Linked DNA regions of Rhinolophus ferrumequinum. The protein of the gene in region 3 binds, or shares a complex with, the protein of the main gene of each other region. Links are inferred from orthologs where the notes say so. Each region holds a gene or a part of one and is shown on either strand. Other genes may lie near its edges. The genes, in order: DCUN1D3, UBA3 and UBE2F.

Region 1 (7,118 bases), on a different chromosome or scaffold from region 3:
GTGAGGTTATAGGAACCTACTTGTGTCTGCATGAGGGAGCAGGGAGAAAGAAGCCCCGATAAGCTATGCTTAAGGCGCTGAGGGCTCCTGGGGCTCCAGCTGTCCCCCTGAACAAGTGTGGGGTACAGTTCTCCCAAGTCCAGTCATTCAGAGGCTGCCTGCATGGTTTTGCCACATCTACATACCACCTATATTAACATTCAACGTTTTCTTTAAATGGACTCTCTTGTGAGCATAGTATTTGGGAAATTGCCGGATACTCTTTTCTTTCTAACACACGGTAAACAAAGCACAGAACTTCCAACTAAAGGTCATGTAGCCCCCACTATCTCACTCATGTACCATCAGCAGCACACACGCCTCCTCCTGGCTCGCAGCACACTGAGCCAAGGCGAGCAGAGGCCAAGGAAGGAATGATGAGCCATAAGAAAACCCCAGGGCGTCGTGAGCAGTCCTCGGGTGGGCACGTCCTCCTGTGACATCCCCAGCAGGACGCTGGCCATTGTGAGGCCACCGTCCCTGCCTTATTACCTGGCAGAACAACTGACACATGAAGCTACAGAAAGGGCCCAGTGGTATAAAATCCACAAGCGCAGGCACTGCTGCAGGCTGCTCCACAGGAGTTCAGGACAGGGCTCACGACGGGATCAGGTGAGGACAGAGCAGCGTGGGAGGCTTCCTGGAGAAGGTCAATTGAATCCAATGCTCGGTCATTTATGACAACCACAAGGCAGGACCCAAGGGATACGCTATCAAATAAGACATTGTCTGAGCCTGAGGAACTGACAGGCGGGTCGGGGAGACCACACGACATACATGAAACAGACAAGGAAAAAGTATGACCAGCTCCTCAGGGGTAGGTATAGGTCAGTGGTCTGCAAACTTTTTGATCACCTACTCCTTTCAATAAATATTTCTCAGGCCACAGATCCATATATGTATTTATATTGATTTGTACGTATACGTTCAGTAAGTGTACTAATGTCATTATAAATATAGACAAAACAGACATTTTTAAAGGATGCAATAGAAACAGAAACCGCACTTGCAGGACCTATTTCCAGTCCTCCGAGGGCTGTGTAAGGTCCCTGCACGCAGGTATGGCCTGTCTGGGGGAGAGTCAGAGCCGCTTCCCAAGCAGGGTGGCCCTCGTACAGCGGGGAGCCTTCAGGGATCCCAAGAAGGCAGAGGTGCTGGGGTTCGGGTTGCGAGGGTGGGGGTCTTTTGTAGCACTTATCCCAACTCTAATTTTACGTTTCTTTCCATCTAACTCTGAAATACCTTTGAGGGACCGTGCTGCTTTTGCTCATTTTATATTCCCAAGGTGTTGGGCGTACGGTGGGCGCTCAGATACCTGTGGAGTGAAACAATGAGAGCAGAGCATTGCAGAGCAGTGGCAGGCATGGTGACAGAAATAGGCAAGTTGGGAAGGGGACGCCTTCTTGTGGGAAGACGAGCTCTGTCTTGGGGTACGGGGTCCTCAGACGGCTGGTGAAAAGCCAAGGCTGGGTGTCCCGATTTGGGAGCTGGAGCCAGAAGGTGGCTGTCTGCCCCTGGGGCCTCGGCGCAGAGGGTTGACCCTCAGAGGACCCCACAGCTGGCAGGAGGGTGTGGAGAGAAGACAGGGCCAAAAAGGAGACAGAGACGGGTCAGAGAGGAAAAAGTAGAGAGAGTGGATTGTCAGGAAGTTTCACGAGGGGAACAGTGACAGCATTGAATCCATGAGATCAATGAGAAGGGGGCAAGGAAAGCCAGGGGCTGAAAGCCTCTTTCCGTGCGAGTTGCCAGGCAGGCTTCCAAAGAGCTGACAGCTAATGCTTGATGGTTTACCGGGATGAGTCACACCGAGCCTCTCAGAAATGGTGTTTGGCTCCCTGGTGTCTGGGTGTGCAGTTCCATTAAACCAGTTCATGGGAGCACTAGTTTACCCAATTCTCTGGTCCCAAAGGGCAGACGCACTGTGCTAGCCAAAGAGGCTGCAGTTCACAGCTAAGTATGAGGCAGGCCTGTGTCTTCATCCTAATCTCTTCCCTCTGAATGGGTTTGGACTTGGAGGCTTTGAATAGTTTATAAATTGAAAACCAAAATTGACCTGCGCACCTCCTGTGGCAGTGTCCGGCGACAGCACATCATGTGACGAACTGCGCCTCCCCTGGCAACTCTCACTGGCCTCACTCCTGTCACCTGGCTCGTGGGGTCTCCTGGGGACACAGCCACTTGCTGGCTGGACCAAGACCTGAAATGAGTGAAGAGAGAGCCCTGGGCCGGGCTCTGCTTCCCATCAGCTGGGCCTCCGGCTCCTTCCCTTCCTGCCCAGACTCTGCCACTGTGACTCACGCTGCTCCGTCCTCTCCATTTGGGACAGACAAGAAATGAACAAATGCAAGACACTGCTCTCCTCTCGCTCTCCAGCTGAGGCCTACTTACATTTTTGTTTTTCTGGAACAGTGTTCTGGCTTCATTTAATATGTACTCTTTTTCTTTAATGGTGTCTTCCATCTGTCCTGACGACGCCTGCCATTTCCTCGCAAGCCTGAAAATTCGGCGGTAGAGGCCAAGAACTTCCTGTCGCGTTGCTGTTGTCATCTTCAGACCCACCAAAATAGAAGAGGGAAAATGTGCATAAAAATTCACCGTGACAATAGGCAGCTAGCCAGATGCACCTTTTTTTTTTTTTTTTTTTTTTAAATCAAGCTCTTTAATTAGAAGGCACAGATAACTGCCTTCTCAGCAAATCCGTTTGGCAGCATTGCCGCATGGCCGTGTACGAATACCAGCTATCCCTTGGCGGCCTCGTGTATCACCTCACGGTTGAGCTGCTCCACTGTACTGTTTGCCATGATGGCCACTTTTACAAACATGGCAAAACAAAACCAAAGCACACATGTACTGTTCTTTGAACCGGTAAATTCTTAGGAAGGATGCTTTTCGTGTGTATTCTGGTAAAATTATATCCCTAACCTGAGTGTCTAGGAAAAGGCATGTGTTGAATAACTGAATTTTCTAGTTAAGTGAGAACTTGAAATTAATGCAGGTTGCAAACTCACGTTCCTCCAGGGTCTGGCAGGTAACAAAATGAGGGAATTTGACTGGGTGGGGACACTGGCCAACTGGAGAGGACATGCCCCCTTAAAAGGGGACAGTCGCTACTCAGCCCCCGCCAGCCGCTGCCATGTAGAAGTGAGGGCCTAAGGGTGCCAGATTTCATGATAGCTTCACAATAGGTGGCAGTCCAGATTTTTAAAATATAAAATCTCAAAAAAGACACAAATTCATTTTTGAAAATGTGAGTACGATGAAGCCCAAAGAAAATGTGTCTGCAGGCTAAGGTCCTCCCAGAGGGCGTCAGGTTGCAGCCTCTTAGTTCAGCATAGCCTCGTTGAAAATATTTTGCAAAACTGTCAGTTCACTGCCTTGTGCACATGAGAACTGTGTAGTAAGTATAACTGGAAGTCTTTGTGATGGCTGAAGATCTGTGGCCCCTCTGGGTTTGCACGCTGAAACATCAGCTTTCATTTCAGAGGACTTGGCCAAGTTCCTGACCGAAGTATGTTCCATAAAGCTAACTGTATTTTTATAAATTAAATTCCTGTTATTTTTATTTTCATTATGAAATACCTCAGATACACAAAAAGATATAGAGAATAATTAACAGCCATACATTCACAATGGACCTTAGGGAATAAATTATATATACAGTTGAAACCCCCACTGTACCTTTTCCAAATCGAATTCCTCTTCCTCTCTCCTAGAAGGAACTGCTATCCTGAATATATCTTTCTCACACGTCTTTACATTTCACATTATATAGTATTGCTTAGCAACTTTAAAAGAACTTTATAAAAGGTATTGCCTTTCTGCAACTTCTTTTTGCCCATATTTGTACTGTTTCCCCAAAAATAAGACCTAGCTGGACTATCAGCTCTAAGGCGTCTTTTGAAACAAAAATTAATATAAGACCGGGTCTTATTTTAATATAAGACCAGGTATAATATAATATAATATAATATAATATAATATAATATAAATACCGGGTCCTCCCGGACCAGGGCAGATTATATTAATTTTTGCTCCAAAAGATGCATTAGAGCTGATGGTCTGGCTAGGTCTTATTTTCGGGGAAACACGGTAAGGTTCATCCATGTGGTTACACACAGCTCCAGTTCATGGGTTCTCACTACTGCAATTCAGCCCACACTGTCTGAAGGTATCTCATGTATTCTTCTGCTGATGGACATTAGGGGTTTCCCTTTTCTTTTACTTACGCAACAACGTTAGCCTGTTTCTTTACTACTTACTTCTACAAGAAATCCCGGAAAGTGAAAAAGCCCCACTACGGGAGGATTCTGATTGGTCAGATTTAGGAGAACGAATCCTGTACTGCCTTTAACAGATGGGCAGGCCGGGAGGACCCGGGCACATGCAGTGAGTGAGCAGCAGGGCCGGGCCAGGCATGGGGACCCTCCCCGGGAATCCTGGGTTTTCCTCAAACAGGCTCCTCAGGATCTGGAGGTAGGTGCTCACTGCCCTTTGGGAGCGCGACCCATTTCCAACCCGAGCGGGAGGGCCAACACATGGAGACTGTACGCTTCAGGAGATTTTGTCCTGAGTTCCTGAGAATTCGAGCAGCTAAAGAATACAGATGGGAGCTGTAAGGAGGTGTGTTTATCTGTTAGGTTGGTGCAAAAGTAATTGCGGTTTAAAAGATTAAAAATAATTGCACGAACCGCAATTACTTTTGCACTGACCTAATAGAAATTCTAAGTTGCTGCAAGGAAACTGCCTGACAGAGAATTCCTCTTTCGAATATGACTGTCCCTCCTACTTCTCCTGACCCTGGTGACTTTTCTTGAGCAATAAGGAATGAACCAAGGCTTAACCATTTGATGATAAGCTTGAAAGCACTAGTTCCCCCAGTTCAAAAGTCGACAGGACTAAGCTTAACCTCCAACACCAATTCTGATGGCCAGGATGCTTCAGAGAAAATGCTTAAAAGGAATTCATAAAAACCAAGACAACCGCATGTTTTGTGGTTCATCGTTAATAAAAACCCACATGAGATGATGACATTTTCCTGGTAAGGAAACAGGTTTCTGAGTTTCTGGCTCTCTCTAGAATTCCATGGTTTCATCTGAAAATACGTGAGTCAGTTCCTGTGAGGGGCAGGGAGTCTGTAACTAACTTGTATTAACGATTGCCTCACTTCTCTGTCATTAACAGACGAAACTGCCCGGACTGCATGGCACTGGTGAGGAGTGAAGGAGGTCTGGCCTGTGAAAACAGCAGCAACCTTCTGCAAAGTCGGACTTTAATTGGTTTCCTTCTACTCTTAGAACCTCCGCTTCAGATTGTAGCTGATCATATACCATAATCGGATACACAAGCCCTGTAATTAGGGCACTCAAGGTAACAAGCAGAACTAACAATTGGTACTTAATAGGCCTATTTTCAAAACACTTTAATTAACGTTTACATGTTTGGAGAAGTAATCCTGAAAGGGAGATAAGTGATGTCTCCCTCTCCAACATCAGGTGACCCAGAAAACCTAAATCCTGAAGATTTCCAGGGGGAGGGGGTCTGAAGCTCTGTTCCCATGATGTACTACTAACAGGCCTAGCCAACCACACTTCTTCCCAACTCTGCGCAAAGCCAGGAAAAAGATGCTTTTGTTCTTTTCTTATTGGAATCCTTCAGGTCTCAGAGAGAAGGAATCATGTTCTCTTACCGTAGGGGTACATCCCATCTGTTCCCTCTTTCTAGAAGGCTCTCTTGGCTCCCTTGCAGCCTTCAGTTACCAATGAAAACATGGAGGTCTCAGAAAAGCCTTTCCCGCTCCCTGCTGCCCTCACCACGTGCATCAAGTCAGGTCTCTCAGTTGAGCCCTTCCGCGGCCCTTGTATTTCTTGTAGCACTTGACCACGCAAGTAATGGGTTGTTAGTGTCCGTCTTCCCCGAGCCTCGCACCTTGTGGACAGGAACCACACGCACCTTATTTACTGCTGACTTCTTGGCACTGGTGCTCAACGAGTGCCGCTGTTGCCCTCCTTCCATCATTCATTGCACACCAGCAGCCCCTTCAAAGGAGGCTGTGCATTTGGGGGGCTGCTCTGCCCTTCCCTCCCCACAGCAACCTGTCCCCAACACTCCAAAGGGAGCTGACATCACAGAAGGGACAGCAGGCCTCATTACAGGGCTGCCAGCCTGCAGGCCAGACTCCAGCTGGGACCAAAAAGGGGTCCCGTGGCCAGTAACCTCCCAGGGAGACCCGAGCATCAACTCCCAGCCGGGCAGGTCAGGGTGGGGAGTCACCCCCCAGGCCTGTAACTTCTTTAGTGAGAGGCTTATCTTTGCCGTAAGCAGCCCTGTCCATTGTTTCTGTGCATCTCGTTTTGTGCAACACACCTTTGACATAAGTGGGACCACCCTCAAGAGAGCACCTGATCTTGTTAACTACCCTGTAGTCCAGTCCCCGCCTTGCTTTCTCCCAGTCCCCGCCTTGCTTTCTCCCAGTCCCCGCCTTGCTTTCTCCCAGTCCCTGCCTTGCTTTCTCCCAGTCCCCGCCTTGCTTTCTCCCAATCCCTGCCTCGGTTTCTCCCACCTCCGTCATCTTCCTTTGTTCCCTCCTTAATTCCAAATGCATGAAAGAAAACTGCAAAACTGTCCCTCTCCATTTATCTTGCTCCCCAGAAATTACCCTCAATGTCTTACATAAAATTTCTACAGGTTTGGACGTTTCTTACATGGACACTTCCCTCCCAAACACCTATCCATCCATCCATCCATTCATGCAGTCAGCATTTATTTAGTCAGTTCACCCCAGAGGCTGGGCACAGGCAGTTCTGGGGAAAGTGATAACCAAGCAGCCATGGTCCCTGCCTCCTAAAGTTTATATGCTCGTGGCAGAGGCAGACGACACACAAGAAGAACAATTTCTGGTAGATATATGTGCTCTCGGAATGAACCAGTCAGTATATATGAGCAGAGGGAGCGGTTATTTGATTGTGGGTAGTCAGTGACATTCGAGCCAGTGCTGAATGCTAGAAAGGAGAGTTAAGAGGTCGGTGAGGTGGTATCGGAAGAGGGGTCAGCAGGAACAAAGGCTGTGAGGTGGGAGCCAA
Region 2 (7,331 bases), on a different chromosome or scaffold from region 3:
TTTTTTCATATTAAGGGGCTGGTTGATGCAGAAACCTCCTTTTATCTCAAATGCATGAGAAAAAATATTTTAGTTAATTGCATAGTATGGTAGGTAAATTCTAAGATGCTGGTATCTAAGATAACAGTCTTTAAAACCTGCAAGTGGTGCTGTTTTTAAGAAACTGAATTCACTCTGCTCGGATCACCAATTTTCAATAAAAGAGAAAAAAAAAGCAATAAAATATATCTAATGTGAAGTCTAGAAGACATGATTTAATTTTCTCTGATGATTCAGAAAGCAGTTAAAGAACTGAAAGTGACTCTAAGAAAATACTCCTGTCATTGGTGTGAATAAAGTTTAAAATGTGAAAATATTCCTGAGCTCTCACATTTTCTTGATTCTGGAAAAATGAGAAGATTTACTGTCAGGGAGAGCAAAATTAGAGTCCTAGCTACTCTATTTCTTGATGAAATTAAGAAATAATTTGATGAAACTTTGATGAAATTAGTTAATCTACTCCAGCCTCAGTTTCTTCCTGTGTAAAGTGGATATAATAAGATCATCAGCCATATAGTTGAAGAGTGGATGGGGAATGCTTAGTATACAGTAATTGCTCACAGTTAGATATTACTGTTAATGTCATTAATACTAGTACAGCCCATTATTCATCTGATAACATAGTATTAATAGTGCTTTAACCTGATTTGTTTTCCATACTTTCATAATGAACATCTACTGACTTTTCTCTATCTTGTTGCAATTTTTATTGTTGTGGGTATATCTGAGTAGACTTGATAAGGACAGAAAGGTTGAAAATTTTCAGTATTATGGCAACAGGTATTTTGAGTCCTTTCAAGGCTCTGTGAAAACATTGTGAGAGATAAAAAAAAAAGTTGAGAATAATTTAGCTTTGCCCTGACTTCAAGGATCTTGCAGTGAAGTGGAAACACTAACTTAAATACAAAACAGTGAGAGGAATGCTATCTAGAGAGGTGCCAGGCCTTGGTGCTCAGTTACAGGAAGTCAGAGGGTGTGGGAGAATTCCCTGAGCTTTACAAGTTTCATGAAGCCGCACTGTGGGCACGCTGAGTAAATGATCTCGGTCAAGACCAGTGTAGAAGCCCAAGCAGGGCCCCTTCTTGTTGGTGAGATCAGTGAACATTAGGAACTGTGATCATGAACTTTTACCTTCCAATTACTCAGTACTGCATGACCATAAGCTGTCAAGCGTGTGTTACTAATAATATGATTACTCATTGATCACAGGCAATGGACATCCAATAAACATTTGTTCAGTGTATTTTTAATTTTTGTTTAAACCTCTATAGAAGTTTAAAAATAAAGAAAGAAATGAAGAAAAACAAAAACAGATATACTAGTATAGAGCATGATCCTCTTTTCCCTAATTCTCAAAATATTAACTATGCTTCCCTCTCTGGTTGGATTATGGGACTTTTTTTCACTGTACATTTCTACCTTTGTCATGTGGGGGAGGAGAAAATTCCTCCTCCTTCTCATTCTTTTAGAGCTTCTGGCTGGTCTAATAATCAAATTGACATGAGACAGATAACCAGGAGAAAACAACCAAATTTAATTACCTATGTACATACAGGGGTTCCGGCCCATATTCTTATGGAGGCATATATGCTATATTGAGTTAAGGAGAAGCGGGGGTTAGTGGTTTGGGACTTCAACAGGGAAGAAGGCAATTCACATGGAGATGGAAACACAAATGTTTAGTAAACAAATGTTTGCTGGGCCACCGTTAACAAAGGTACACAGAGAAGACTGATCAAATGGGTCTTGCTAGGTTCTTCTTTTGTCTATCACACACTAGTTCATATTCAACTATAGTTATCTGGGGCGGATGGGTGGCTCAGTTGGTTACAGAGTGAGCTCTGGGCAACAGGGCTGCCGGTTCGATTCCCACATGGGCCAGCAAGCTGCTCCCTCCACAACTAGAATGAAGTCAACGAGCTGCCGCTGGGCTCCCAGGTGGCCAGATGGCTCAGTTGGTTGGAGCGCATGCTCTTAACCACAAGGTTGCTGGTTCCTACCAAGGGATGGTGGGCTGGGCTCCCTGCAACTAACAACGGTGACTACCTGGAGCTGAGCTGCGCCCTCCACAACTAAGATTGAAAGGACAACAACTTGACTTGGATGGAGCTGATGAGTCCTGGGAAAGACACACTACTGTTCCCCAATTAAAATAAACAAATAAATAAATAAACTAAAAATAAAAAAGTGAAAAATAGACTATAGTTATCTATGATGATAGCTCCCTTCTTGGAGCAGATCCTCTATATTCTATATATCTATATCTATAGAATATATATCTATATTCTTTTGAGGAAGGTCAAAGGGTTTTCCTATCTTCCACTTCTTACAAACAACCAGTTTAAAATAATCACTATCCCAAAGAGGCATATTTTGGGAAACTCTGCTTCCCTTCAGACATAAAATCATTTTAAACAAAAATGAACGCATATGGGATCCTTACTTGATTCAAGCACTGTTTGAAATGCTATTGATAGCAGCTCTTTGTCACTATTCATTTAGGGGGTCAGATTCACTGTAGAGGCTTTCCTGGTGCTCTTATACCTAGACGTGTGCTTCTGGATAGGACCACTCTGAATATTTATCTGTCTGTATGTAAACCAGAGTAGATAGACTAATAGTTTATGTTGTATTCCATTTGAAATGAAATAAATCTGATGCAGGCTTCTCTTGCATGTCTCTGTTACTTTCATTACTGGCAAGTGCAGGTGGCTATTTCTAATCAGTCAGTCTGAGCCAGAGGGTGTGCCTGGTATCATGTATCAAAATACCACTGCAGTGAGTCAGTGTATTAATTCCAAGGCACAAAGATGCAGGACCAGAAGCCTTTGCAGACCTCTTCATGGGCAAGCGACATCCTGTCCATGGGCGTCAGCTTCCTCCCCTGTGAAATGGGGTGTGGGTGTGGGGGTTAGACAAGGTGATCTCTAAGGTGCCTATTAACTTTTACCATCTGAGGAAACTATGATGCTCCCTGCCCCTAACCAAAAGGTCTCCTGAAAGTATTATAGCATTGCTGGGGGCAAGGGTTTAACCTCAATGGTTTCCATCTGCAGAGGAGTCTGGGCGAGAAAAAGAGGTTTCTGGGTTGATATTGAGACATGTGACCTGGATAGAGGCTGGTGTCTCCTGCTATGGGCTGTGGACTCTACCTCCTCACTCCTTGGCACTGACTTTTGGCTCAACGAATGCTATTGAATTGAACCCCATTGGAGGCTAATAAAGGACAAAGAGGAGATTAAATATCATAATTTATTAACGACAGCTATTTACTGCGTACCCATCAGGATTTATATAGTACTGCATTTCATTAGTTCTCAAACTTTATTTTGTACAGAAACAGGGCTTTGCAGAAGGTCGGTGGTGAGGCCTAATTTGTGTTTGTAACAAATTCCCAAATGAAGGTGAATACTATCAGTTTACAAATGAAGACAGTAGTGCTCAAGGTCTCATAGGTAAAAAGTGGAGTTAAAAATTTAAATTCTTTCTGGATTCTACATCTCATTCTTGTCCCACTCCAAAGAAGGATATACATATGTATGTATATCTACATCTGATTATTTTTCTGTATCCGGTCATACACAAACACACATACACACATCTATCAATTTTTGATTCTGGAGGAAAATACCTACTCTAAAATTTTATTGCCATTTATCTTTAGGCAATGAGATCATGGTCTAAATTATTCTTTAACTTTTGTGCTTTTCTTTTCCTTATATTTTTCTTCTAGCTACCTAAATATAAAACTTTTTCTCAGAAAAAAAGTTCTTTCAATTTAGTTTCATTTCCACTGAGTTTCTTACCTGACAGAATGATGTGACACTTAACGTTAATATTCGTATTAACAAAGAAAGAAAATATCTTTATCCCACCCCTATAAACTGATCTAGAAAAATTTTACTCTTAAAATGAGTGCCGTTATGCAAACATGTTGGAACCGTTCTCAGAAGTAGAAAGTGAAAATTCCCCTGATGCTTTGCCTCAGATGGAAGCTCTGGCATATTAGGGTGGCTCTTCCAGGAGTTTTTTCATAGAACATACCATTTTACATAATTATTAACATATAAATTGAATAAACATAATGTATTACATATAGATTTTCACGCAGCCTAAAAATATACACTGGATAAGATTTCTCTAATTGAGCGTAGTTAATTAAGATTATAATTACAGCGAAAAGCTTTAAAGCACGCGGAAGCATCAGCAAAGGCAGCCCGGCTCTGCAGACTCCGCCCCGCCCCGCCGGCCCCGCCCCGCCCCGCCCTGTCAGGCCCGCCGGCCCCGCCCCTAAGCCTGGTCCTGCCCGCCGTGGGGGCACCTGGGAAGAGGCGGGGAACAATATGGCGGATGGCGAGGAGCCGTAAGTATCCGGGCTCTGCAGGCGCGGCGGGCCGGGCTGGGTTGTGAGAGAGCGTGGCGGTGGGCGGTCGCCGCCTCCACCCGGGGTCCCCCCATCCCCCCGCCCCGTCCCCTCGCCCCCCATCCTCTCGCGGCGCCCATGTGTAGCGTGATGCTGACCCTTCTTTTATTCTCTCTTTCTTTTAGGGAGAAGAAAAGAAGGAGAATAGAGGAGCTGCTGGCTGAGAAGTTAGTGCTGCCGGGAGGCCGGGGCCCTCTCCGGGGACCCCCGCCTCCCCCCACCCCAGGCCTAGGGGACCAGCCGCAGCGGGCCCGGGGGGCTGGGAGGGGGGCACCCAGTGCGCAGGCCGCGCGGCCTCATCCCCTGACCCGAGTCCTGGAGTCCCAGGGGCCAGGCCGGCCAGTCCTGGTTTCTCTCCGGAGGGCGCCAGGCCCCGAGTGCACCGCCGCAGGTCCAGCACGGGCCCGCCGGCTGCTTGACCTAAAGGTCTAGCGGAAGGACCCTAGCGCTCCCGTCTTCCTCCATCCCAAATTGTCAGAGATGTGACCTTGTGAAAGGGGAACCTTAAACACACGAAACGGACCTTAGGCCGTTTTTGGCCTTTCGTAAACACTGAGACAATAGTATTAATTGCAGACTTTCTTTGAGAACTCTGCATGGTACAGTACTAAGCACGTCAATCATTTTTGCAGAATAATTGACTCCTGAAGGAGAGCGTTGACTCCACAGAGCTTATTTTGCCCATTTATTACACACTCTATTTTTTATCAGATGCTTAGTTTTGTGCGGTGAGATACATTTAACAGTGTTTTCCAACGTGGCCAACCCACATTTTTGCTCCTGCCAACATGGGAGGGGAAGAAAGTACTCTTGCAGTGGGTGTGGTGAGTTAGTAATTTCTGTGCCAAATCCCATTAGCAGTGCACCAGAGTGTGTACAGGTATCTCTCTCAGAAAGTTCAATTTCAATTGCTAGGGGACTGGAGTGACAAGCTTAATTTCACATTCCTTCCCACCCTTCATTTCCTTTCCACTTTTGCTTAAAATAACAAAGTTCGAATGCTTATTGTATGCCAAGTATTATACTGAGGCCTCTGTATAGGTTATCTCTTTACCCTTCTGACCTTAAGTAACTAGAAAATCTACAGATGAGGTTTATGGCTGTTAAGTAATCTGCTCAAGGTCGCAATGCTATTGTGGAACCAAACCCAGCCATGACATCAAAACTTATGGTCATTGTTGCTAGACAATACTTCTTGGTACCTTTTGTTAAAATTAGATATTAATAATGTATTTGAAGGTCGAAATTATGGGATTACATGAAATTTGAAAATTAAAAATAATTACAACCAAACATGAATTTTGCACTGAGTAGGAAATACATGTATTTTGTTAGAAGAGTCCCATCATATTCAGCTGTATGTTCTAAAAGGTTTCTAGATGATAATGCCTATCTGTGGTATAATCTAGCCTAAAACTTGCTGTGTTCAGGGGCAACAAAAACCATCTCATAGTATTAAGAGATTCTTTTTATGAAATTTTGAAAATAGGGACCTCTGTTTCAGAGAAGAAAATGTATAAAAATTCTCATCAAAGTTATTTTTAAATCACACCTTTCAAACTTGGATATGAATCCTAGATTTGAAACATCACAATTCTGAAAGTGGAGTTATGTATTTATTTATTTTTTTTGTAACTGATATTTCCTGATCTAAGTGTGTTGAAGAAACAGATTGGGGAAGTTTGCAGTGACCTTTTGTAAGTTCCAAATGTAGAAAAACCCATTTCTTCTTGATTAGACAATATCCCAAGTTTGATTTGGCTTGCTTTAGGAACCCAGAAACATATAGACTGATTTATTTCATCAAACACATGCAGTTAACTTTAAATAAACTATAAAGTAAAGAAAAAAATTAAAAGCATAAGCACAATCACATTAAATATTTCCCTTTTTATTTGAGCAGGTCTGGTGTGATTACCTTTTCATTTGGGGAAACCATAATAGTTGTTTAAGTGTGGCTTTTTCATACTGACCTTTGCAGCTGAATTTACTGTGTTCTGTGCAGAATGGCTGTTGATGGTGGGTGTGGGGACACTGGAGACTGGGAAGGTCGCTGGAACCATGTAAAGAAGTTCCTCGAGCGATCTGGACCCTTCACACACCCTGATTTCGAACCGAGCACTGAAGTGAGAAACGTTTATTTTTAAATAACTCCTCTAATAGTTTTGTGTTTCAAAAATAGCAAAATGCTTTCTTTTTCATTTGCTCTTATAACAAAATACTCATACAGTTATATAAGTTATCTTGAAATACTAAATGCAATATTTGCAACTGATTTTATCTGAATGATTAATATTTGAGTCACTTTCACATTTCTCATGTAATATGTTGAAATTCTTCAAGTAAAATAACTTTATAATCTCGTTTAGAATTCTATATTATAGTTCATTTTAAATTCGTTTAAATGACTTCTGAGACACACCCGTTTTTAGCCTTGCTATGAGAAATTAATTTTCATAGGAATATAGATGCACTTGTTTAAATTTTGAAATATAGTTGAAATGAGCATCTTTACTTAGGATTGAATATAACTAATTGCATGTTACAAATTATGTGACTGCTGTATAATGAATAGAATTTTGGACTGATAGTGTCTGACTCAAAGCAAATGTTCAATTAGATAAAACTTGTTTTTTATTACAAGGTAGAAAAGAGTATTCTTTACAGTAAAGTTTTATATCCTTTTGTGTTTATAAAGAGATACTGTTTTGAAATCGATATATTATGCTTGCTCCTTAAATTAAGGTGCCAACTCTTGGGTTTGACACACTCTCATCTGAATAATTTTTCTTTAATCTTGGACAGAATTAACAGTATTCTGTCTTTTTTCGGATCTCGTATTTTCTTGTCCTTTGATTTTTTTTTTCCT
Region 3 (7,704 bases):
TGCCAGTTTCAGGGGTATGTACGTCTGTCAAGACGCCTAAATCATACACTTAAAACGGTGTACTTCAATTATACCTCAAGAAAGTTGACAGAATGTGAAAACCCAACCCACAATGGTTTTTTCATTCCCCCTCTACTACGCCATCTTCTCAGGTGGACCTACACGAAGCAGGGACCACAACCAACCAACACCCACCTTCTCAGCTTTACCCAGGGCTGGGAGCTCCGGTGGTTTATGAAGTAACTCACAAAGGGGCGGGGCCGGGCCTGGCATGAGGAACACCCGTGGGGGCTCCACCCGGAGCTGCCGGAGACACAGCTCCCTGGCCCAGCCCACCCCAATGATGCTGTCAGGAACTGGATCACAAAGCAGTGTCTGCGCCCAGCCAAGTCCATTGTCACCAACCCAGACTTGAACACCTCATCAGGGTCACCGGATGACCGCCCAGATACACGTCCATTCCTTGGGGGTTGGCTGGAAGCACAGATGCACCACACAAAGTCCACTTGGTTTTTATCCTCTAGCTGACTTTGGCAATGAAATGTGGCAAAAAATAAAAGCACGGCATGTGTAAAGAGAGTTCAGCAGACAGTACCCTAGGAAGGTCACAATGAAGAGACCCATGGAAAACTGAGGGCCCGGGCACATGCCTGGTCCACACCCAGCTCCGAAGACCTGCACAGAAGGGGCCGCTCAGAAGGTCCTGGCAAGACTCACACTCATGAAGAAAGGCTCACACACACACACACTTCTGTGTCACTGAAGTCGGAGGACTCCTCTTTGTTCTTTTATAGTCCCCACTAGCCCACAGTGAATGAATTCTTCTGTGGGCAGAGTGTGTCCCATACTCAGTTCCACCAGTCAGGGTCCTGGCTTACGCTCTCCAACAAGGCTGTGGCCCTTGATACAACATGCTGGCCACTGATGTGCAAGGTATGAAAGAAAATAGCACAGGTGTTTTGTTTTCCATAGAAGGTAATACAAAACGTACTCTCCCAGCATTCTGAGAAGTATAGGTATATCATGACCATCTATTTCTCCATCATCTGTATCAGTATCATATCCTTTATCCCACTTCAGGGATAACAGGCCTAATTTGGGGATGTGTCCAGAGCTGTTAAATTAACTCTATATAAAGAGATTTGAATAAAAATAATTACTCAAACTGCCAAGAGGTTTGCTGAACAGATGCAGCTGCTTCAGAATTCCTCCCTCAGTATGCTTCACCCCTTGAAGACTTGCCCCTTTATTGCAAAGACACTCTGACTAAGGCAGTATTTTCGGTAACAGATCAGTTATGTGGAACAGCATGCCGAGTCTCTCAAGTCCACAGGTCCTAATTGGCCCATTTAAGTCCCTCCTCTACGTGGGGCAGTTCAAAGACGATTCTTAGGTACTATTTAGTAGTTTCATCATCAAGTAATATTTACTCAGCACTCCTGCCCGCAGTGGCAAAATCAGGCCATGTCACCTGTACAGGGACACGGGAGCCAGTCAGCTCACGGGGTGGGGATGCCCGGGAAATCCCTGTTTACAATTCTTCCTGCTGTGAAAAAGTCCCAAACTAAGTGTAAAAGATGGAACTGCAGGTCACTAGTGGACAAGCCAGTTCTCCTGCCAGAGGCCCAGATCCGAACATAAAAAAAGTCCACACCTCACCCTCCTCCCGCAGAAAAGCCAGGCCAGGGCCCAGAACCTCCCATCTGGCCCAGGAGTCACCCGGTTGGCTGACCGACCTTTGGAGCCCAACCCTTTTATTTTCAGCCCTAAACCTGCCCCCTCCTGCACAGCCCACTACCTGAATGGCAGGTATGTCTAAGTGGGGGTCAAGCCCCACACCACGTAGCCTGGTGGTAATTTGTGAATACGCCTCCTGTTTGTACCCTCCCCCATCTTCATCCCCTCACCCAGCCAGAAATCCTCTGCACAAGGCAGGCAGCCTCTTCCCTGTTACTCAACAACACTGCTCATTTCTGGAAGCTTCCGTTCAACGTGATACCCAGGTCCGGAACGCCCTCCTTCCCTTCACCACCTAGTCCTACTCCTTCCACAGAGAGAACAGATTCCTATCTAGATTCTACTCCTCCAAGAAGCCTTCTCCAATCCATCCAGACCCACTCCGGAGCGCGAGGGACGCAGAGAGGGGAGGGCCCAATCCCCTTCGGTAACAGACGAGGAAACTGAGCCCTACTGAAGGGAGGGCCACGCCCAAGCTCACACGGCGGCGGAACCAGGTCCAGAATCCCACTTCCCGCTGTACTGATCCTTCCAAGATGTCCTCCCCTCTGCTCTGCCCCGGGTACTGGCTTCCAAACCAGCCGCGGCCGCCCCCAATTGCGAGGCCGCTGCAGGCAAGCTGGCAAGGAAGGAGCCTCGCTCCTCCCGACCCTCGCCACTCCCTGGCCTCGCCCGACTTCCACCGCAGTCAGCAGTCGGACTGCCGGCGTCCGAGTCCCGCTTCCTCCGGCCACGCCGGGCTGGTGACCTTGGGCCAGCGCTCGGCCCTCCGTCTCCTTCTGGACAATGCGGCCGGCGGCATCTCCGCGACGGCGGGCGCGAGCGAGGCCGTGTGTGCGCCCCTCACAAGTCGGTGCTCGGTGCGGGCGGCCCCTCGAGCCCAGCCAGCGCCCCGGCCCCGGCCCCGGCCCCGGCCCCGGCCCCGGCCCTTTCCATTCACGCCGCCCGGCCCCGCACCCCGCGGTCCGCGTCCTGCGCGCCCGCCCGGCGCCCGGCCGTGAGGAGCGGCGCGGCCTGAAGCAGCCCCGGCGCCGCCCGCCCTTCGGCCCACCCGGTGCACCCGCGCCGCGGGAGCCGAGCCGCCTGGAGGCCTGCGCCTCCCCTCGCCAGCCGCGGGGCCGCGCGCTCCTCACCTGGGCACCCCGAGACAGGCGAGGCGGGCCCGGCGCCCAACACCATGCCCGGCCGGCCGGCGGCGGCGAGACGCGGGCCCACACAGCCGCACCGGCTCCGGGCGGCGGGACCGGAAGTGGAGGGGCGGGGACTCGGCCGCGGCCGCGAAGGCAGCGGGCACTTTAAAAAAAAAATTCAAAACCCTGAAGAACTTTATTTGGAGCATGATGTGCGAACAGCGGTGTGCGCTGAGTGGGGCTGGGCCTCGCTCATTGGCAGAAGTCTCGGTCGGGGGCGGGGGCGAGTCTCGCGGCCCCGGCTGATTGGCCAGCGGCTGCCAGGGGCGGGGCCGCCCAGGGCGTTCCCGAGCCTGCGCATTCCCAGCGCCTCCCTGCTCTACGCCGCGTTCCTGCCTCCATTCATTTGGTTGTGGGCTGGATCCCGGCCTGCGGCGCAGAGGAGCCCGGCGCAGGGCCGGAACTGACCGCCTGGGTGGATGTCCCCGCTGTGTGCCCAGCACAGCGCCCAGGACGCAGAGGACCCGGCCGACCCCACAACCTGCAGTGTCGGGGGTAAGGGGGGCGGGACAGTCAGAAGTGCAAACAGCCAACAACACTCGGTGTGAAGCTGAGGCTGCAAAGGAGTGGGTGGGCCCTTTTCTGTTCTTGTCTTAATGGTTTATATTACGTCTTTCATCTTACAGTTTTGTAAACTACTTTAAAAATTTGTTGCAAATTGTTCTGTTTATGGCTTGTTGAGTACAAATTCTTCTCACGTCCATTTGTGCCCCTGTGTGATGGGTAATAGGCACGGTCGCGGGTGTCAGGCAAGGATCCTGGAGGAGTGGGCCATCTGGACCCGGAAGAAAGAGCCGAGGAGTTAGAATTTTATTTCCAGAAGCCCCATGGAAAGGTTTTAAACAGTAGAGTGACAATGTCAAGTTTTCTTTCTAAAAGAGGCTTCTGGCTCTGAGTGAGCTGATGGGAGGGGAGCCAGGCAGCGTGGAGACCAGAGTCAGGAAGACCAATGAATAACATATGTCATGGTATTCCTTCTGTTAGGGAACAGTTTCCTTCTTCACCCAGCTAACTCCTGTCTCCCTAAGCGTGGAGATGTGGTACAGTCAGCTACCTGTGCCTCACTGCCTTTTCCTGCAGCTGCACATCTGTGATTCTACCCCCTTCAGATCAGGCAGCCAGAGTTTACAAAGCCCTGGATGAATATCACACAGAAGAGAAGCAGCCATAGTAAGTCAATGCCCCATATATACAGGAAGCATTCCCTGGGCATGGTTGTTGACAGCTGCAGGGGCAGCCTGGGATGTGGGCATTCAGGAGGCCTCACTCAAGGGCGACGTGAGTGCTGTCAGCCCAGGGCTCCTCGTGGCACAGTCACAAGGATTCAGGGTGCTACACTCACTCTTGTGCTGAGGCACTGCTGCCTGTGTTTTATATTTTGTGTGTATGACCGATAGTTTTGATTGCTCTAGGTATCTGACATTGTCCACTTTGGTGAGTGCTGTGGGCAAAATGCCACAAAACACTGTTTTCCTTTTTTTTTTTTTTGAAGGAAAATTCTTTTTTTTTTTTTTTAAGATTTTATTGGGGAAGGAGAACAGGACTTTATTGGGGAACCGTGTGTACTTCCAGGACTTTTTTCCAAGTCAAGTTGTTGTCCTTTCAATCTTAGTTGTGGAGGGTGCCATTCAGGTTCAAGTTGTTGTCCTTTCAGTCTTAGGTGTGGAGGGCGCAGCTCAGCTCCAGGTCCAGTTGCCGTTAGCTAGTTGCAGGGTGCGCAGCCCACCATCCCTTGTGGGAGTCGAACCGGCAACCTTGTGGTTGAGAGCCCACTGGCCCATGTGGGAATCGAACCAGCAGCCTTCGGAGTTAGGAGCACGGAGCTCCAACCGCCTAAGCCATCTGGCCAGGTCCCTGTTTTCCACTTTTAAAAAGCCAGGGTTGAAAATGTCTATACATTAGTGTGTATGTGAACATTGGGTGAACAAGACGGGAACGGGAACAGAAGTGGCAAACAGCTCATGTTCTGAGCAGCTGGAACAGTCCAGGATGGAGGTTGTGCTCTGCATCTGGGACTGCAACCTCAGGACCACACTGGGCTCACCCAAAGCAGTCACTTGGCATGTCAAGGCAGTGCCGGGTAGAACCTCTCCCCCTACAGCCACAGCTCTCCCTGGAGACTGGGGTGAAGAACCATCGTTCCGGTGACTCCTTGCCAAACCCTCATGATTAAAGTCCTATGCCGGGACTCTGGGGACAGCAGTGCTATTTGTGAAGAGGCGCCACCATGCAGAGACGACCTGGACCACTGCTTGCTCTGCTGACATTAGGTGACCCCACACAACCCCGTGGGAGGGAAGTAAAAGTCCTAAAGGCCTTTGGGTCTTTGACCCCGTAATTTCATTCACGGGTTGGCTTGAGGAAGTAATCTAAAAGTGGAAGAGGCCGAGGCACAAAAATACCCATCGTGTTACAGAACTTGGAAGCAATCTTGTGCTCAGTATTCGGGGAATGGTGAACTAAATTACCACCGCTCATTTACTTACAGGAAGATTACCCAGCCAATAAGCTTGGTCATTATGCAGATTATGTAAAACCACAAACATACTATTTAGGTTAAGTGAAACAAGCAACATTCGGATCGTGTAAATTCAATGACTACAATTCTGAAGAAGACCAATATATGGGCAGAGACGAGGAAAATGAACAAAAATTAATAATTTTTGTGTCTGGTAGGATTAAGAGTGAATTTTCCTCTTTTAAAAAAAACTTTCATTTATTTTCTTTATATTATCTTCATAACAATACAATACAAGGGTCTTTTTTAAACATGATTGATCCTTAACTTGGAACACAGGTCTGTGTCAAATAAGTGATTTTAATGCTGTTATTCGCTAGAGAAATAAATATAGAGAAGCTTAAGGCTTCCCTGGACAGATCATTTAAAAAACTGGTAATCCAAATCATGCTTAGAAAGCCTTTCTAAATTCCAAGAAAACAAAGTTGTTTTGAAATAAATGGTGACTATTATATTTTAGGTCACATCCACATGGCAGTAGAGCTGCCCTCCCCCCCCATTCAGATTCATTTGCTGAAGTTCTGAACCTACGTTTTCTATAGGAAAATACAATCTGCCTCATGGCAGTCCCCGGACACATACCTCAGGGAAAAGCAAACACTACCCACATCTGAGGCCTGGAGAATGGCTGTTGGGAGCACTGGCACCGGTTATGATGGAGAGGCCATGTGTGGTAAGGCAAAGATTCAAAAATACCTACACTCACCATTATTACTCAATATTCTGGAAGTTCTGGCTAACACAGTAAGGCACACACCGGAAATAGAAGATGATTATTAGAAAGGACAAGGCAATATGACTATTACATAATGAAACTATGTGACCCACTCCCTAGAATATCCAAGAGGCAACTAAAAACTGTAAAAGGGAATCAGAAAGATGAACAAAGTGACTCAACTAAAAAAAAAAATCAATAGGTATATTTTCCATACCAACAGCAACAGATTAGAAGTGATCAGAAAACCCATTTTACAATAGGGGGTGGGAAAGAATGATAAGTGAAATAGTTAAATAATCTTACTGGCAAATAGGTGTAATCTGGACTGTGAGAATTAATAAAGGAAACCAACTAAAATTGGAGTTGGAGACGCCTGTAGAGGCAGCTGTCACACCTTACCACCTCATCCATTACCCCAAACATGAAAAGACCAGACCTTGGCATCTCCAACAGGAAGGTGTATTATCCACTTTACTACCCCTGGAGGAAGAAGGAAGATTTTCTTCTGGACCAGCAAGAAGCCCAGCCAATGGAAAAACCACAGCTCAGCCAATGAGAACCCTTCATCACCTGAACTCTTTCCTCCAATGAACTTTGATGTTTCTTTTGCTAATGACGTCCTTGCCCCAGGCTCCTTTATATAGAAGTTTTCCATTTCGTATAATTCCTTGGAGTATCTCTCTGTTTGCTAGATGAGATGCTGCCCGATTTATAAGTCACTTAATAAAGCCTATTAGACCTTTAAATTTACTGAGTTGAATTTTGTGTTTTTTAGCAGGATAAAGAAAATTACAAACTTTATGTCTGTCAAAATGTACATGGCAGGGTGGCCGGATGACTCAGTTAGTTAGAGTGCAAGCTCTTAACAACAAGGTTGCCAGTTCGATTCCCACATGGGCCAGTGTCGTGCGAGGGACCCTGCTCGCTGCGCCATTTGTCGTGCAGGAGACCCTGCTCGCTGTGCCATTTGTCCTGCGGGGTCTCAGCTCCCGCTCCCCACATAAGAATGCAGGGTATGGCTAGGCCAAAAAGGAACACCCACGGAGCCATAGATAGGGGAGTCATACCACTATAGTCTCAATGGAGCAGGATCCACACAACACGCAACCTGCTGTCCGCTTCTCTGCCTGCCAACCAACCGACCAAGAAACACAGCCACGGCAGTTATATCAGTGGCTAATTGGTTAACTGGTTACAGCTGATGGCCAACTACTACCCGAGCCAGCACCTTTCCTCGTAAGGCCAAGAGCCTGGAAACTGCTCTCTGGGACTCTGTCCCCACAGCCATTGAGCTGCTCCCTCCACAACTAGATTGAAGACAATGAGCTGCCACTGAGCTGCGGAGGGGGCGGCTGGATGACTCAGGTGGTTATCGAGCTCTTAACTACAAGGTTGCTGGTTCAATTCCCGCATGGGATGGAGGGCTGCGCCCCCTGCAACCAAAGACTGAAAACGGCGACTGGACTTAGAGCTGAGCTGCGCCCTCCACAACTACATTGAAGGACAACGACTTGGAGCTGATGGGCCCTGAGGTCGAGCTG

What was found.
Region 1: the proteins of UBE2F (region 3) and DCUN1D3 are in contact, whole or in part, in a crystal structure (PDB 4GBA), measured with the Homo sapiens proteins. The link is inferred for Rhinolophus ferrumequinum from reciprocal best matches to the Homo sapiens genes UBE2F and DCUN1D3. Residues at the interface, in NP_001265234.1 of Homo sapiens: Leu2, Thr3, Leu4, Lys7, Leu8; in NP_775746.1 of Homo sapiens: Glu108, Glu109, Glu112, Pro122, Thr123, Glu124, Met139, Cys140, Glu194, Ile204, Ala207, Leu208.
Region 2: the proteins of UBE2F (region 3) and UBA3 are in contact, whole or in part, in a crystal structure (PDB 3FN1), measured with the Homo sapiens proteins. The link is inferred for Rhinolophus ferrumequinum from reciprocal best matches to the Homo sapiens genes UBE2F and UBA3. Residues at the interface, in NP_001265234.1 of Homo sapiens: Thr27, Arg28, Arg29, Val30, Asp34, Lys35, Val38, Lys39, Val41, Ala42, Glu45, Val54, His55, Phe56, Pro57, Asp58, Pro59, Asn60, Leu62; in NP_003959.3 of Homo sapiens: Ala401, Thr403, Thr405, Leu406, Glu407, Gly408, Asn410, Arg411, Thr412, Ser417, Val418, Thr419, Ser420, Ile421, Arg424, Thr425, Gln442, Glu443, Ala445, Ala447, Asp448, Val449, Thr451, Pro452, Gln453, Thr454, Leu456.

What each region holds. Positions count from the first base shown.
Region 1 is NW_022680357.1:16,190,681-16,197,798, reverse strand, and holds the start of DCUN1D3 (DCN1-like protein 3), read left to right. Parts: upstream 1-4,107; 5' UTR 4,108-5,406; intron 5,407-7,118. Other genes in the region: LYRM1 (LYR motif-containing protein 1), read right to left, coding at 2,428-2,586. UniProt on the Homo sapiens protein: Contributes to the neddylation of all cullins by transferring NEDD8 from N-terminally acetylated NEDD8-conjugating E2s enzyme to different cullin C-terminal domain-RBX complexes and may play a role in the cell cycle progression by regulating the SCF ubiquitin E3 ligase complex, after UV damage.
Region 2 is NC_046300.1:62,780,840-62,788,170, reverse strand, and holds the start of UBA3 (NEDD8-activating enzyme E1 catalytic subunit), read left to right. Parts: upstream 1-4,319; 5' UTR 4,320-4,382; coding exon 4,383-4,402; intron 4,403-4,587; coding exon 4,588-4,629; intron 4,630-6,467; coding exon 6,468-6,588; intron 6,589-7,331. UniProt on the Homo sapiens protein: Catalytic subunit of the dimeric UBA3-NAE1 E1 enzyme. E1 activates NEDD8 by first adenylating its C-terminal glycine residue with ATP, thereafter linking this residue to the side chain of the catalytic cysteine, yielding a NEDD8-UBA3 thioester and free AMP.
Region 3 is NC_046291.1:2,437,838-2,445,541, forward strand, and holds the start of UBE2F (NEDD8-conjugating enzyme UBE2F), read right to left. Parts: upstream 3,016-7,704; 5' UTR 2,871-3,015; intron 1-2,870. UniProt on the Homo sapiens protein: Accepts the ubiquitin-like protein NEDD8 from the UBA3-NAE1 E1 complex and catalyzes its covalent attachment to other proteins. Together with the E3 ubiquitin ligase RNF7/RBX2, specifically neddylates cullin-5 (CUL5).